Linked DNA regions of Canis lupus familiaris. The protein of the gene in region 2 purifies or fractionates together with the protein of the main gene of each other region. This does not show direct contact. Links are inferred from orthologs where the notes say so. Each region holds a gene or a part of one and is shown on either strand. Other genes may lie near its edges.

Region 1 (4,913 bases), on a different chromosome or scaffold from region 2:
AGCAGTTACTTGTGTGGGAGACAGAAATATCTGAAGTCTACTAAGACAAGAATATCGATGGCTAAAAGGAGTTTAATAACTTCACAACATTTTCACATTTTCAACCCCTAAGTATAAAGCTCTCCCCAAATAGACTTTACATCCTTTCCAGGTCATGCATAGACTTCTGAACCAGATTACCCATAAGAGCATTACAAATTCTCCATTGATCTTTTCACGGCACAAGAACAGTGAAAACTTTATTTTTTACACTTGCAAAATCCTGTGTTTATTTTTCTAAAATAGAAGTCAAACAACTGAACCTGTCTTGTTTGAACTTTAGTAAACCTATTCTCTCATAATCCTGAGGCCCCAATCTCTGCCCAGAAGGAAATGAAGAAAAAGTGCTCTGTGCCACGCTGCAAAGTTAAAACACAACACGCGGTGCCTCCCTCGGTCTTCTGCTCAGGCACACCCGAGCCTCCTGCTGGTGGCCGTTCACACTGCTGGAGCCCTATCATATGACACCTGCCGGGCGGAGGGGGAGGCAGAGGCTCTTCACCCGCATTCGTGTAGAAACTAGTTCAGTGTCTGAACTACTAACTTCTGTGAGTAATGTTTAAGTAAAAGTGCTTAACCACAAGTTCACTTGTAATCACTCAACTGGCATTAAACACTAAATGGAAATGGGTTTATAATTCCTTATAAACATTAAGCCCTTGCAAAACCCCTATGCCAGCAATCTGATTGGTCAATAGCATGGCCCATGGACCATCTCTTAGCTGGAGAACAGAAGATACATTTAAAATGTAGAAAAGCCCTTTCCACAGGGTGAATGTGCAAAAACAGGAGAAGTAAGAAGCAGGTATTTCTGTTCTCAAATGCCTTAGGTAAACTGACCAACCATAATTAACAGTGCTGTCACCGAAAGCAGGAAGAAGCCCTGCAATTAAGCCCATCACTTAAATTAAAATATTTTTATTCATTAGCTCACAAAACTAGTCGGCTCAAAATACGGTTTTCAATAAGCAAAGCTTACATTTCAACGTAATAACGGACAAAAATAATCATATAAATTGGTTATAACTAAATTCTGGTGTTCTCATGATCCCCACCACCCCCCCCCCTTTGTGCTCTCCCAGTGTTCACCCATCACCTCTTATACAATCATTTACATAAAGTTGCCAGGTCCTTGAGGGCAAGAACCTTTTTTTATGAAATTGCATACTGCTAACACGCAGCACAATGCTCAGGACATAAGAGACTCTTAGATGTTGTGGCACGAGTCAAAAAACAGGGGGTTACATGCTATAAAGTGTGTAAAAAGAGGGGTAGAGGAAGCCAATATGCTTCGGCTCAGGAAAAGCAAAAGGCTTCTCAAAGAAAATTCCCTCTGGCCGTGGGAGCTGAGTGAGATTCCCTGACAAAATGGGCACTCGGATGAGAGGAGAGTCTGTACCCAGACAGGAGGACTGGAAGGCCAGATGTGTCAAAGGACAACACAATGCTCAGGGCGCGATCAATACACGCAGACCAGGGGAAGGGGCAAGCCTGCTGAGGGCAGGCAGTGAAGCTGAAAAACTGGAGGGGGCTTATATGCCACCTTCAAGCAGTTTTCATTGAGAAGCCCTTAAAGCCATTTAATCCAGAAAGTGACACAAGGACACATTCCCTGAGAATCTCTGGCCCAAACTTGTGAAAAGTCTGGGTTTCCAAAGAATGTTATATAGAGATGTCTATTTTAGATTATTTGAAGTTTCGGTATCCTTGGTTACCGTCCTGCCCATCATTTTCTCCTATAGATGAAATATACGCGTATTTCAGGCCATGCGGTTTCATTCCCACAGCAGCAGGTGATAAGGGCTCATTTGCAGGCCTCATGAAATTCCTCCGGTTTTAATTTTTTAAAGGGGGGGGGGGGGGGACGGGAGTCTGGAGAATTTTTTTTTTTTTTTTTTTTTTTTAAGGAAAGCAAAACACATACCTAACATAAATACCCTAAATTCCTTTTTCATCACGGCACGTGCACACCGGGCCCCGGGGCAGCCGCCTGCCCCCCAGGCCCCCCAGGCCCCCGAGCTCCCCGACCCGGCTCCGCAAAAGGGCCTCGAGGGAGAGGTTCTGGGCCACGGGTCGGCGCACAGCCCCGGCCTTTCCCGTGCGAGGCCCGAGGAAAAGTCACGCCGCCTGCCTGCCGCGGGCCCGGACACGTTTTTGGAAACCGGGAGCCGACCGGGTGGCGGCGGGCGCGGGCGAGGACCCGGACCCGGACCCGGACCCGGGGGAGGACCCGGGGGAGGACCGGGCGCCCGCTGGGTCCCGGGGCGGGGGCCAGGGATGGGGCCCGGGGCGCACCGGGCGGCGGGGCGGGCGCGGGGCAGCGGCATCCTCCGCGGCCTCGGGAGGGGCCCCGGGACCCACGGCGAGAGGCTGCTCGCGGGGCGCAGGGGCGCAGGGACGCCCGCCGAGGCCCCCGGGACGCGGCCCCCCCCGGGCGCGGCGCGGCGGCGCTGGAAGCCCAGGGCGGCGCCCCCGCAGCCCCGCCCGCCCCGCCCGCCCCGCCGCCCGCACCGGCTGCGGCCCCGCCGCTCGGCTGGAGGCTGACGCGGCTGCTCGGCGGCCCGGCTCCCCGGCTCGGCCGCCCCGGCTCCCCCGCTCCCCGGCTCCGCCATCCCCGGCTCCGCCATCCCCGGCTTCCCGGCTCGCCCGCTCCGCCGCCCCGCTCTCCGGCCCCCCATCCCCGGCTCCGCCATCCCCGGCTCCCCCACCCCCGCCCCCCCATCCGCCACCCGCCGCCCCGGCGATCCGGGAGATAAAAGTTTGCAGCGTGCGGCTCGTCTGCAGTGCGAGTCACATCCGCCGCGCCGCCGCCTGCAGCAGCAGCAGCGCTCAGAGAACGAACAAATAAATTAAAGGAAAAAAAAAAAAAAAAAAAACTGTTGGAGCCGGTAGGCCCGAGGCCGGGCGCCAGCCTCCCGGCGAGCACGCAGCGAGCCCCCCCGGCCCCGGGCCCGCCGCACTGACCGATCACCTCCTGCAGCTCGTACGCGTCCCTGCAGATGGGCCAGCCGGCCGCCTGCGCCGCGGGGCCGGGGGCCGGGGCCGGGGCCGGGGCCGGGGCCGGGGCCGGGGCCGGGGCCGGCGCCGCGGGGGCCGCGGGGAACGCGGGGGCCGCCGCCGTCGCCGGGGCCGCGTGCTGGGGCGGCTGGACGTGCACGGGCGAGCCGCCGGGCTCCGCCATGATGCTCCGGGCGGCGGGAGGACGCGCGGCCGGCGGACGACCTTCCACTCGAAACTTCCCCGGCCTGGCCGCCGCCTCCCGCCGGCGCACGCCCTCCCCGCCGCGCCGCCGCCGCCGCCGGAGCCCCGAGGGGAGGGAGCAGGGAGGCCGGGCCGCGCGGAGGGCGGAGGCAGCGCGGGGGGGGGGGGGGCGCCGCGGCCCCGAGCCTCGCGCGCGCCGCTGCCGCCTCCGCGGGAACCGCCGCCTCCCCCCACCCCCCGCCCCCCGCCCCGCGCCCGGCGCCGGCGAGCCGGGCGGGCTCGGTCCGCTCGGCCCGGCCTCCCGCGGCGCCCGGGTCCCCGGGGCGGGCTCGCGCGACGCCCGCTGAGCCGTCCCGCAGGCCGGGACCCCGCCGCGCGTCACCTGCCAGCATCCCCTTCGCACCTTCGCCTCCGAGGTTCAAGCCCCCGCCCCCCCCCGAGTGCAGCGTGATTCCTCGGGTCCCGGCGGTCCGCAGGCTCCTTCGGGACGTGGTCCAAGGGCCCGTGCGTGGGACCCGAGCAAATGGAAGGGGTCGCGCGCCCTGTGGCCGACTGTGGCCTCCGCCGCAGGCCGCACTGGCCCCCGGCGACCGCGGCAGGCGTCTCTCTTGCAGCGCACACTGCGCCCTAAACGAGCTGCCGAAAACTTTTGGTTCATTCATTGCTGCTTTCTTTCCCCAACTCCCCCCCCCCGCCCCCCGAAATTACCTCATCTTTACCGCTGCTGTGGTTGAACCTTAGGTCTTCCTAATTACGGGTGTCGTGTTGCACACTGATGTTCCCTGGGTTCCCTCCGTAGCGATGACCTGATGACCTAGACGACACCACCCTCGTCTGAAGCAGAAACGGTGCAGGGAACCAAGGGTCCGCTGGGTCATTTTGCCCAAATTTTCTTGTGTGATTTTCATGACAACGGCTGAAGAAATGCATTAGAGTAATGAGCATTATTTAAAAAAAAAAAAAAAAAAAGGGCTCTAAGAAGTGGGTGATATGCTATATGTTGGCAAATTGAACTCCAATTTAAAAAAGGGGGAGGCGGATCCCCGGGTGGCCCAGCGGTTTAGCGCCACCTGCAGCCCGGGGCGTGACCCTGGAGACCCGAGATCAAGTCCCACATCAGGCTCCCTGCATGGAGCCTGCTTCTCCCTCTGCCTGTGCCTCTGCCTCTCTATCACGAATAAATAAATAAAATCTTAAGAAAAAAAAAAAAAAGCTCTAAGAAAGACTGTAATGCTTTGTCTTCTGCGTTTAAACACAAAAATCTCAATATTTTTTTGGAAGACAAGAGGAAAGTCAGAAATTCATTAGGAGAAATGTTATATGTCTAATCAAACAGGGATCTAAACTAAACCGAGTGTGCTTAATCTCATAGCATTACGGAACAGATGGGGTTCAGCAACTACGGTGCTCTGGTCTATAAGCAGAAATTTATGCTGAACTAAGAAAGTATACATCTTTTATGCATGGGTGTTCAAAAACTGCGTATTGATTTTAATCAAGAAATACAACTTGATGAACAAATAAATTCTAGGCCTCTGATGTGTTCAGTGGGGAGGAATAGGGAAGAGGGGAACTCTCTTTTTCAAGGGCTGCTCCCCATCCCAAAGAACTTTTAAGGGAAAAGAAAAATAATTACAGGAATATGACCCCCATTTCCTCATGTGAATTTATAT
Region 2 (4,260 bases):
AATGTGCAAAGCATGCTAAATGCTGCCAGCTACTATATGGATTTCCTCCCTCCTTTTTATATATTTTTTTTCCAATTTTTCTGTAAAGAACACGATATTTTGAGGGCAAAAGCCTTAATTGAAGCTTGGCTTTATTCTCTTGGTCCTACAAGTTATTTTTTCTTAATATAGATTAACAATGTCTTTTGATCAAATCTGCTTACCTTTATGTTACTATTCATGTCTGTCTTAATTTTAATTCTCTAAAAATTATAAATAGAAAAAATTAGGTGAATGTTTCTCTAGTTTTCTTAATCTGTAGTTAAATTTCCCCACTCTCATTCCTTTCCCAGGTTTGGGGATGCTGTGAAAGGTAATCTGGTGGTGGGTACCTTATCTTGGCCATCACCATGGGTGATCGTTATTGGCTCCTTCTTCTCCACATGTGGGGCTGGACTTCAGAGCCTCACGGGTGCACCAAGGCTGCTACAGGCTATAGCAAAGGATAACATCATACCCTTCCTGAGGGTGAGTGACCCTCTCCCATACCTTATTGCCTTTTTCTCAGATTTTAGGAGAAACAGTGTGGTCTTCATAGGCTTAGGAATTACCAGATCAGGAAAAAAAAAAAAAAAAAAAAGGAATTACCAGATCATATAATGTGAAGACAGGTGGATTTTTAGTACAAGACCTTCCCTATGAGGGAAGAGTTTATATGTAAGCGGGGTAGAGGTATTTAACAGCACAGTTGTATCCTGTGCTGTGTCTGAAACTGTAGCAGCGAGGGGAGCATTGACTCAGACACTCCCCACACACCTGTGACTAATATATCCCTTCTCTGTACAGGTTTTTGGTCACAGCAAAGCCAATGGGGAACCTACCTGGGCTTTACTTCTAACTGCTGCCATTGCAGAGCTGGGGATTCTTATCGCCTCCCTGGACCTTGTGGCCCCAATTCTTTCTATGTAAGAGCCAGTTCTTCTCTTCACTGTTTCTTGCTTTTGTGATATGTACTACACGTTAATTTCCCTCAGGCATATAATAGTAGTGATAACAGAGTAAGCCAAGTACAGGTGTAACTTCACCTAAATAATACATATTCCAAAGAAGTTTCAAGTAAGGCTGACTTTTATAATTTTATGGTTTCTTCCTACCTGTATAGCTTCAGAAGTTCTTTGCCTTCATTTCTGATTCATTATCAATTGGTTATAGCTTTCACCGCTGCTGTTAGCTTTGATCCTTCAACTGACATAGTGATGACTTAATATCTACCTGGCACTGGGCAGCATGTTAGGAATATAAAGATGAATAACACAACCCTAAGGAACCGATGATAAAGAGATTAGTGGTCCTTGTGCAGTGTGATGAGAACTGTGGTAAAGGTGAATGCTACCGTGAAAGCTCTAAGGGGAGGCACCTAAGTGGACTGAGACTCGGGAAAGGTTCTCTGGATAAAGAGACACTTGCATCTTGAAGGAGGACATTATTTACCAATCAACAAAAGAGTGAGAAGTCCCAGACACTGAATGTGGGTAAAGGAATTGAGGAATGAAACGATGCAGCACATCTGAGAATTGAAAGTAGTTTGGCTTTGATGGGAGGGTGCCTGTTCGGGGGTAGCCAGGCAGAGACTTAGGTAGAACCAGGTCACAAAAGACCTAGAACTTTTACCTGGTGGTAGCGAGTGATCCTTTGAGAATGGAATGATCATATTTATGTTTTAGAGTAATCTGGTATAAAAGGTAAGTGAGAAGGAGGCTAAAATTGAGCTGGGAATGCCAACTGGAAGCTTATTTAATCCAGCAAGGAAAAAATGAGATCCTGAAGTAAGGTAATATAGTAATAGAGATGGAAAGGAGGGGAAAAGTTTAAAAATTTGTGAATGGGTAGAATCCATAGGACTTGATAAGTCAATTTGGAACAAGGATGAGTAACAAAGAGGAAACTGGGATTATCCCAAGAACAACTAGATAAAGAGTAGTTGTGTTTTTCGCTGAGAGAGAACATAGGAGAAGGAGCAAGGTGTGGGGAGAAGTTAAGTTTCTCTGCATCCTAGTCTGAATCAAAGGCTAGTGGGCTGCACCAGAGGCTTAAATACAACAAGGTCTATTTAAAATAGCCCTTGGGAGAGTCATTTTACAGTGCCTCTTAACTTCTTTGATTCCACCAGGTTTTTCCTCATGTGTTACCTCTTTGTGAACTTGGCATGTGCTCTGCAAACATTACTTCGAACACCCAACTGGAGACCTCGGTTCCGCTACTACCACTGGTAAGTCTGCCCTTTTTCTTCTTCTTCCCCACGTTTTAACTAGAAAACGAGGAGAGTCTGGGTGGTCAACACAGTTTTTCTTGGCCAGCCATTCCATACTGCCTATTTCAACATCCAGTGATTCCCTGAATTTCCACCATCTTATGTGTTTTTTCATAGGTCACTTTATAATTTATAACACCCACTTAGAATAAAGATCAAAACTATGAAATAAATATTTCCAGCCTGCTGCATTTTTCCAGGTTAAACCAACCTACCCTTTGCATATCTATTTTCCCATTTCTCTCTTAGCTAAGCACTGAATTTCATCAATTTTCTGTCTTTATCCTCATCAGTTTTCATTCTCAAACTGTCTTCTTAAGTTTCATTTAGCAGGTAAGAGTGTGAGCTATGGGGTCAGATGACCTTAGCTCAGTGTCTGCTCTACTATTTCCTAGCTTTGTAACTTTTAACAAAGCACATAACCACATAAAATCTAATTTTATTCATTTGTAAAATGGACTGATAGTATTACCTGTCTCATGGGATTTCTTTGAGATGATCTGAAGTGCTCAGCACAGTGCCAGGGACGTAGTAAAGCTCTCAGTGAAACTTTGCTGCATTTGCTGCTGCTGCTTTCAAGTCTCCCCAGTCCTAAGGGGGTCATCAAGCTTTTAGCTGCCATCCTATCTCCTCATTTCTTTTCTATCATAGCTAAAGGTTCCTTAGTATGTCCTGTTGCTACATTCCTCTTTGCTAACTTTCTCCTTGACCCTTTCCTGGCTTCACTTTCCAATGATGAGCAGTAGTGTGAGCTTTATAAAGTGGCAAAAATTTGGATCCTCACTGATTTTATCACCTCTAATCCTCTTTCTAATTTTAACCTTAATTAAACATCCACTGTGAACTTTGTTGTGTTACTATTTTGCTTTTATTACCTTTTCCCTTTCTCCTTCTCCTATGTTTTTATTAGATCCTAATTTTCTCCATATTAACAACTCTCCTGTTCACTCTTTGAAATTCATCATAGAGCTAAGAAGTTCATTCTGTACACAGAAGATCTTCAGTAAGCATGATTGTCTACCTAACCTATTTGATCATCAAAACAAGCATTTCATGATTCTCTGCCAAGTTTCTTTCTTTTTTTTTTTTTTTTTTTTTTTTTTTTAGAGGGAGACAGGGGGGAGAAGATGAGCCAAGGGGAGGGGGCAAAGGGAGAGGGAAAGGCTCTTAAGCAGACTCCACACTTAGCACTGAGCCCAAAGCAGGGCTCGATTCCAGGACCCTGAGATCATGACCTGAGCCAAAATCAAGAGTCAGATGCTTACCCACTGAGCCACCAGGTGCCTCTCTGCCAGGTTTCTTTTATGTAAAGTAGAGAAACTAATGGCAGATTTTCTTCAGTGGGTTCTGCATGTGTATGCTAATGAACATTCATAAGGTTTTTAGCAATATTTACATGAAATACTTTTTTTTAAAAGATCGTGTTAATAATTCTAACTACATGCCCCGTCCCTGCTTTGCCAAGTAGTTATTAATTCATTCACAACTGTAGATAACTTTTCGTTATATCCTACTCATTTATGTTTTTCCAGCAATGGGAAACATCAGGACAAAGGATGGTTTGGTTTGGGCCTCAGTGCAGATCTACTGACTGTTGCAGTCCATGATAAGACAACTATAAAAATTGAGAAAAAGCATTTAAAAACTTACAGCAACCTGACCATTGTCACAGTATCCAGGCAAATAGTAATTTTTCTAATAATTCATCTTTATTGCATTTACAATATAAATTTTATAGTCTGTAATATATTGGAATTTAAAATATAATAACAACCCCTCATCAGTTTAAGAAGCACCTCCAGCCCAGGTTTCCTTTTTAGCTGCTTAGAAAAACACTTGTTTGTGTTTTTGTTTTTAATTTTTTAGGGCCCTCTCTTTCATGGGAATGAGTATCTGTCTGGCCCTGATGTTCATTTCTTCCTGGTATTATGCCATTGTAGCCATGGTAATAGCTGGTATGATCTACAAGT
Region 3 (4,931 bases), on a different chromosome or scaffold from region 2:
ACACAGCCTTCCCCTCATTCTGGAACCACAGCCCTCTCCACAGTCCCACTCCCTGCCAGGCTGACATTGCCAGCCAGCCTGTATTCCATGGTCTAGGGGACAGCAGTCATTCTGCTGCCAAGAGGAGGGCTTTCTTATGGGCTAGAGGTATTCTCTCTAGCGTGGTTCCTTAAGGGCTTCCCACTCAAACCAGATCCTGGTATCTTTGAAGGGTTGATACCCTCCTAGAATTATCTGTTCCAGGTGTCCTCCTCATCACTGGGCTCCAGGTCAGGTACTCCTTTTTGGAATCCAGGTGTCCTCCTCCACTAGCCTAGGGAGATAGCACCATTATACCACCCACAAGAAACAAGAAAAGGCCACATTCCTCCAGCCCCTTCCCCTGCCTTCTATCCAGGGTAGTCAGCTCATATAGGTATGCTTCTCTAGATGGCTTCTGTCAAGCTCAGCTGACCCAAGTGTCTCAGCTAGAGAAGGTGAAGGACCTCTGAAGTCACATAGGGAGGGAGAGCCAGGGTAGAGGGAGGGCCAGAACTCAGGGGCTCCCTACACTGCATAGGCTACAGTGACACAAAGGACCAATACAGACAAAACTGTGTGCAGGCAAGACAGAAGCAGTATCTCCGAAGGCAGTTCCCCATCGTACCAGGCTCTGGGATGCCTATGTCCCCCACCTAATTTCAGGGCCCCAAAAGCCATGTAGAATATGAAGTACGCAATCCACTACACAGTCTAGTGGGAGAAGGCTTCTCAGGGCCCTAAGGCTCCCAGCCAGAAGGGACCAGAGTGGCCAATAGCCAATCCCATTGATGGCAGAGCCTTTCATCTCTAATGACCTGTGTTCCAAGGGTGGGCCTACAAACCCTGCCCCCAGCCCAAACAGCTCAGCATTCCCCCCAGGTCATCCAACACGGCCACAAGGCTGGCCAGAGGGTGACAATCCTTACCCCAACTCAGGAGGGCTCCCCAATTCTCCTATCTCCCTGATTCAAGGTCATCTTAATTCCCAATGACATGCTGACAACTGGGAACAGGAGATGTTGGTTCCAGCCCCTGAAGTACTAGCAACTCACCCTGGGACTCTCCATAAGTCCTCCTCCTCCCTGGGGATCAGACTTCTTATCTACACATGCAGAATGGGGACTCCATCTCTGAGGCCTTAAGCTCTAGTTTCTGTGATTTAGGAACAAAGGGGGTTTGCATGGCGCCTCAGGGACCTCAGCCCATCAGAGATTCTGAGGGAGTCCAGAGTTTTCACTCAAATTCACAAGAGGCATTCTCCTCATCAGAGCCCTGGTCTGATGGGCGGAAACATGTTCAGACTGGGAATAAAAAAATGTTTCTTGAGAACTAACTTAACAGAGCTAAGGCCCTTTGAGAAGCACTGGGGAAATGTGAAGGACTAAGAGAACTGCCCTCAGGCAACCATTTCGCAGAGACAGAAACTGAGGTCCAGAGAGGCCTGGAAATCTGCTCGAGACAACACAAGCAGGAATTCAAGTCCCAGGCTGTCTGATCAGAGTTCTCTCCCAGGGCTTCAGGCTGGGTAAGAGTAGCACTGGGATGTGAAGACTCCTGAAATCCCTACAGGCATAGTGAGCTCAGAAGCTGGACTCTGTTAAGATCAGAAACTCACAGTCCAGGACCCAGGGCTGGCTGGCTGAGTTGATTCTGTTCTGAAATGCCCACAGCCTGGCCCCAGGATCCATCCCCACGTTAGGGCCTGACCACCTTCTGACATCCTTCTCTGAACCATCCACCCCAGGGAATGAGCAGCAACACAGAAGCCTGCCATGTGACCTTCACAACCCACTTGTACACACAGCAGGGTAGCACTGCTCCCTGAGCCCATCAGGTCCTCCTAAGGTTGCCTGCGTCTTGGCCCCTTGGACAGACAGGCATCAAAGCACGTGAACTGGACTGGTGTGCAGAGCTAGGGCTGGGGATCCTGTCCCCAGTGACCGCCTTCTTCCTGAGGTGAGCTGGGCAAGGCCCAGCCTGTCTCTCTGCAGCCCCAGGTGAGAGGCCTCTGGGGAGATGCTCTGAGAACCACTCCTTCCTACAGGTGTCAGCGGGATCCTCGCTCTTCCATCTGGTCCTCTCACCTCGGGGCCGGGCCAACCGGGGTTTCTGAGATGCTGTCCCCGAGAGGCTGCTGGGTGGCAGGGAGGCCGCGGTCTCCCCCTCCCCCGCTCCCGCTCCCCCGCCCCTGGCCGGCTGCCTCGGTGACCTCCCCTCCCCCAAGACGGGCGGAGAGCCGGGAGGTGGGGGTGGGAAGCCTCGTCTGCGTTCAGCGCTCTCGCTCCCCCCCGCTCCCCGGAGGGTGCTGGGCAGCCAGGCAGGGCGTGCCGCCCGGTCCTTTCTCTGCCCAGCGCCGGGCTTCGCCGCGTCTCGGGGCGAGGCACCCCCGCACCATCCCCCAATCCGCCTCGCACCGGGGACCCCTCGCTGTCCTCGCCCAGACCCTGCGCCCGAGGGGCGCTCCCACACGCGGGCACCGGGCAGCGTCTAGAACCTTCCGCGCCCAGTCGGACGTGAGGCCGGGGGAGGTGGGCGCCCCGTTCCCCTACAGCGGCGCCCGCCCTTTCCGCGGGAGACAGGTGTCGGCTTCCCCCGAGGCCGCCGGCTCCGGGGCCTGGACGTGCCCAGCACTAAACATCTGTCGGGGCAGGGTCCGCAGGGAGCCCCCGCCGGCCCGCCTCGTGCTCGGGAGAGGGGCTCCGGCCCCCGCCCCCGGCCCCGGCCCCCCCCGGCCCCCCCGGCCCCTGCCCCCGCCCGCGCCCCGCGCCCCGCGCCCCGCGCCCCGCGCCCCGCGCCCGGCCACCTGCGCGCTCGCCCGCAGCCGCCGCCGCTGCCGCATTGCGAGGAGCCCGCGAGCCCCGCCGCCGAGCAGCCGCGCCCTCGGCCTCCCGCCGCTGCAGCCCCGCACCCCGCGCCCCTCCCCGGGGCCTCCCTCCGCCCGGGCTCGGAGGGGCCCTTCCGCGCCGGGGCCGGGGCCTCACCGGGCGGACGAGGGGGGCGGCGGGGGTGACTCGGCGCCCAGCCAGAACCGGGGGGCACTTACCGCTCTGCTCCCCCAGGAACACCAACTTGAATTTCCTCAGCGGGTTCCCAAAATCTCCCCCTGCGGACATGGTGCTGGCGGCCGGGCCGTGCAGGAGGCGGCGGCGAGGCGAAGGAGCCGGAGGGGGAGGGCGGGGGAGGCGGCGGCGGTGCGGGAGCCGGAGGGGGAAGGGCGGGCTGCGCGCGTCCCTGGCTCCCCGGTGCGCCCGGCCCCGGCCTGCGGCGGCGTGTCCGGCGGCGGCGGCTGGGGCTGGGGCTGGGGCTGGGGCTGGGCTGCGGCTGCGGCTGCGGCTGCGGCTGGGCTGCTGCGGGGCGCGGGGCGCGGGGCGCGCTCTGGACGCCCGAGGCGCGGGGCGCAGGGACGGCGCGGGGACGGCGGGGGCGGAGGCGGAGGAGCGCTCTCCGGAGCCGCGAGCCTCGAGCCGCGAGCCGCGCGCCGCCCCCTCCCGTCCGCCCTCCGCGGCCCGCGCCTGCGCTCTGCGCGCTCCCCGCCTCTGATGTCATGCGGGGCCCGGGTGCCCGCGCCCGGCCTCCGAGACCCCCGGGCCTCGCCGCCCCTCGTCGCCCCCCGCCCCCGCCCCCGCCCCGCGGCTGCCTGCCTTCCCCGCTCTAACGCGACCCCTCCTTTGAATCCAGAAAAATGACACGAAATTGCCAGGGGACATCTGTTTCTAGTCTTCCAGAACCTAGATGCGGGTCCCTTCCTCCACCTCCCGCGACGCCGAGAGGGGAAGGAGAGGAGGTCGGGGGAGAGCCAGGGGCGGTGGGCCAGGGGGCTTGGCCGGCCCGGCCGCGACCCTGTGTGGGTGGCTCTAGCCCTCCCTCCCCTGGGCTCCTCTCTGGGGTCAGCGGTGTCACCTCAGAGCTGGCCAGCAAGAGAGGAGGACCAGGAAAGGGTGCCTGCCAATCTCAAGCCAACCGCTCCTACAGGTAATTTTATCCTGGATCTGCTGTCCCATGAGAGCGAAGGAGCAGACACCCGAATATCAGCACGGCTGTCTCTGGACAGTGCCCTGCAGCAGTTCTTGACTCTGGGGCCACCAGGCTTCCGAGGCCTCTGCTTGCCCTGGCAATTAGTTGTATCTGGACAAGGAGCTTCCCGAGGACAGGAGGGTTGCTTCCCATTCCCCTCTGTATTCCTCTGGCCCAGCGAGGCCCGTGGGACAAGTTGTGAGTGGGTGAGAGCAAGGAACCCAAGTGTTAGAAGGACTCCCAGGACAGCCGGATGGTAAGGCATTCCAGTTAATGGAGGTTTCATGAAGCTGCCTCCTACTGTTCAACCACCACATGGTCTCCTTCTTTACTGTGGTTCAAAGAACATTTGGGAGCAAGCTCCGTGTGTATGTGTGTGTGTGTGTGTGTGTGTGTGTGTGTGTGTACAGAGAGAAGAGAAGCAAGCTCAACCCCTAGAGATTACCAAGGGACATTTGTCATCCTCTTTCTGACTTACATGGCTTGATTGGGGTGTCTTCCTGTCTGTTTCTGGTTTGTTTATCAGCCCCATAGGCTTCCTGGCCCATAGTCAACCCAGCTGGATCCCTCTCTCATTGCTTGTTTAAAAACTAGAAAGTGAGTTCCATGAAAGCAGCTGTTGAAGCTCCATCACAGGATCTCAAGGACCTAAATGAGAACTCAGTAAATAGTTGTTGAATGTTTGAATGAATGTCTAGAATGCAAATCAAAACAACTGTTTTATTTCTCCGAGTTGCCTTTGGTTTGGAGCCTCAGAGATTGTAGGGCCAGCAGTCTAGGATACCTGCCCCACTGTGCCTGGCATCAGGCTCAGGGGCACCCTCCAAACTCCCACTCTACTTCTGCTCTGGGGCTCTTGCTCTCTCAGGAGATTGTATCCAGCATGGGGCTGAAGG

What was found. The genes of interacting proteins can lie anywhere in the genome.
Region 1: the proteins of SLC12A6 (region 2) and STK39 purify together in Homo sapiens (affinity purification with mass spectrometry; 3 studies listed by BioGRID and IntAct, with this or other methods). This does not show direct contact. The link is inferred for Canis lupus familiaris from reciprocal best matches to the Homo sapiens genes SLC12A6 and STK39.
Region 3: the proteins of SLC12A6 (region 2) and RAB6B purify together in Homo sapiens (affinity purification with mass spectrometry; 4 studies listed by BioGRID and IntAct, with this or other methods). This does not show direct contact. The link is inferred for Canis lupus familiaris from reciprocal best matches to the Homo sapiens genes SLC12A6 and RAB6B.

What each region holds. Positions count from the first base shown.
Region 1 is NC_049257.1:13,453,105-13,458,017, forward strand, and holds the start of STK39 (STE20/SPS1-related proline-alanine-rich protein kinase), read right to left. Parts: upstream 3,221-4,913; coding exon 3,004-3,220; intron 1-3,003. UniProt on the Homo sapiens protein: Effector serine/threonine-protein kinase component of the WNK-SPAK/OSR1 kinase cascade, which is involved in various processes, such as ion transport, response to hypertonic stress and blood pressure.
Region 2 is NC_049251.1:1,116,560-1,120,819, forward strand, and holds part of SLC12A6 (solute carrier family 12 member 6), read left to right. Parts: intron 1-332; coding exon 333-507; intron 508-825; coding exon 826-944; intron 945-2,149; coding exon 2,150-2,248; intron 2,249-4,156; coding exon 4,157-4,260.
Region 3 is NC_049244.1:31,291,505-31,296,435, forward strand, and holds the start of RAB6B (ras-related protein Rab-6B), read right to left. Parts: upstream 3,221-4,931; 5' UTR 3,135-3,220; coding exon 3,065-3,134; intron 1-3,064. UniProt on the Homo sapiens protein: The small GTPases Rab are key regulators of intracellular membrane trafficking, from the formation of transport vesicles to their fusion with membranes. Rabs cycle between active GTP-bound and inactive GDP-bound states.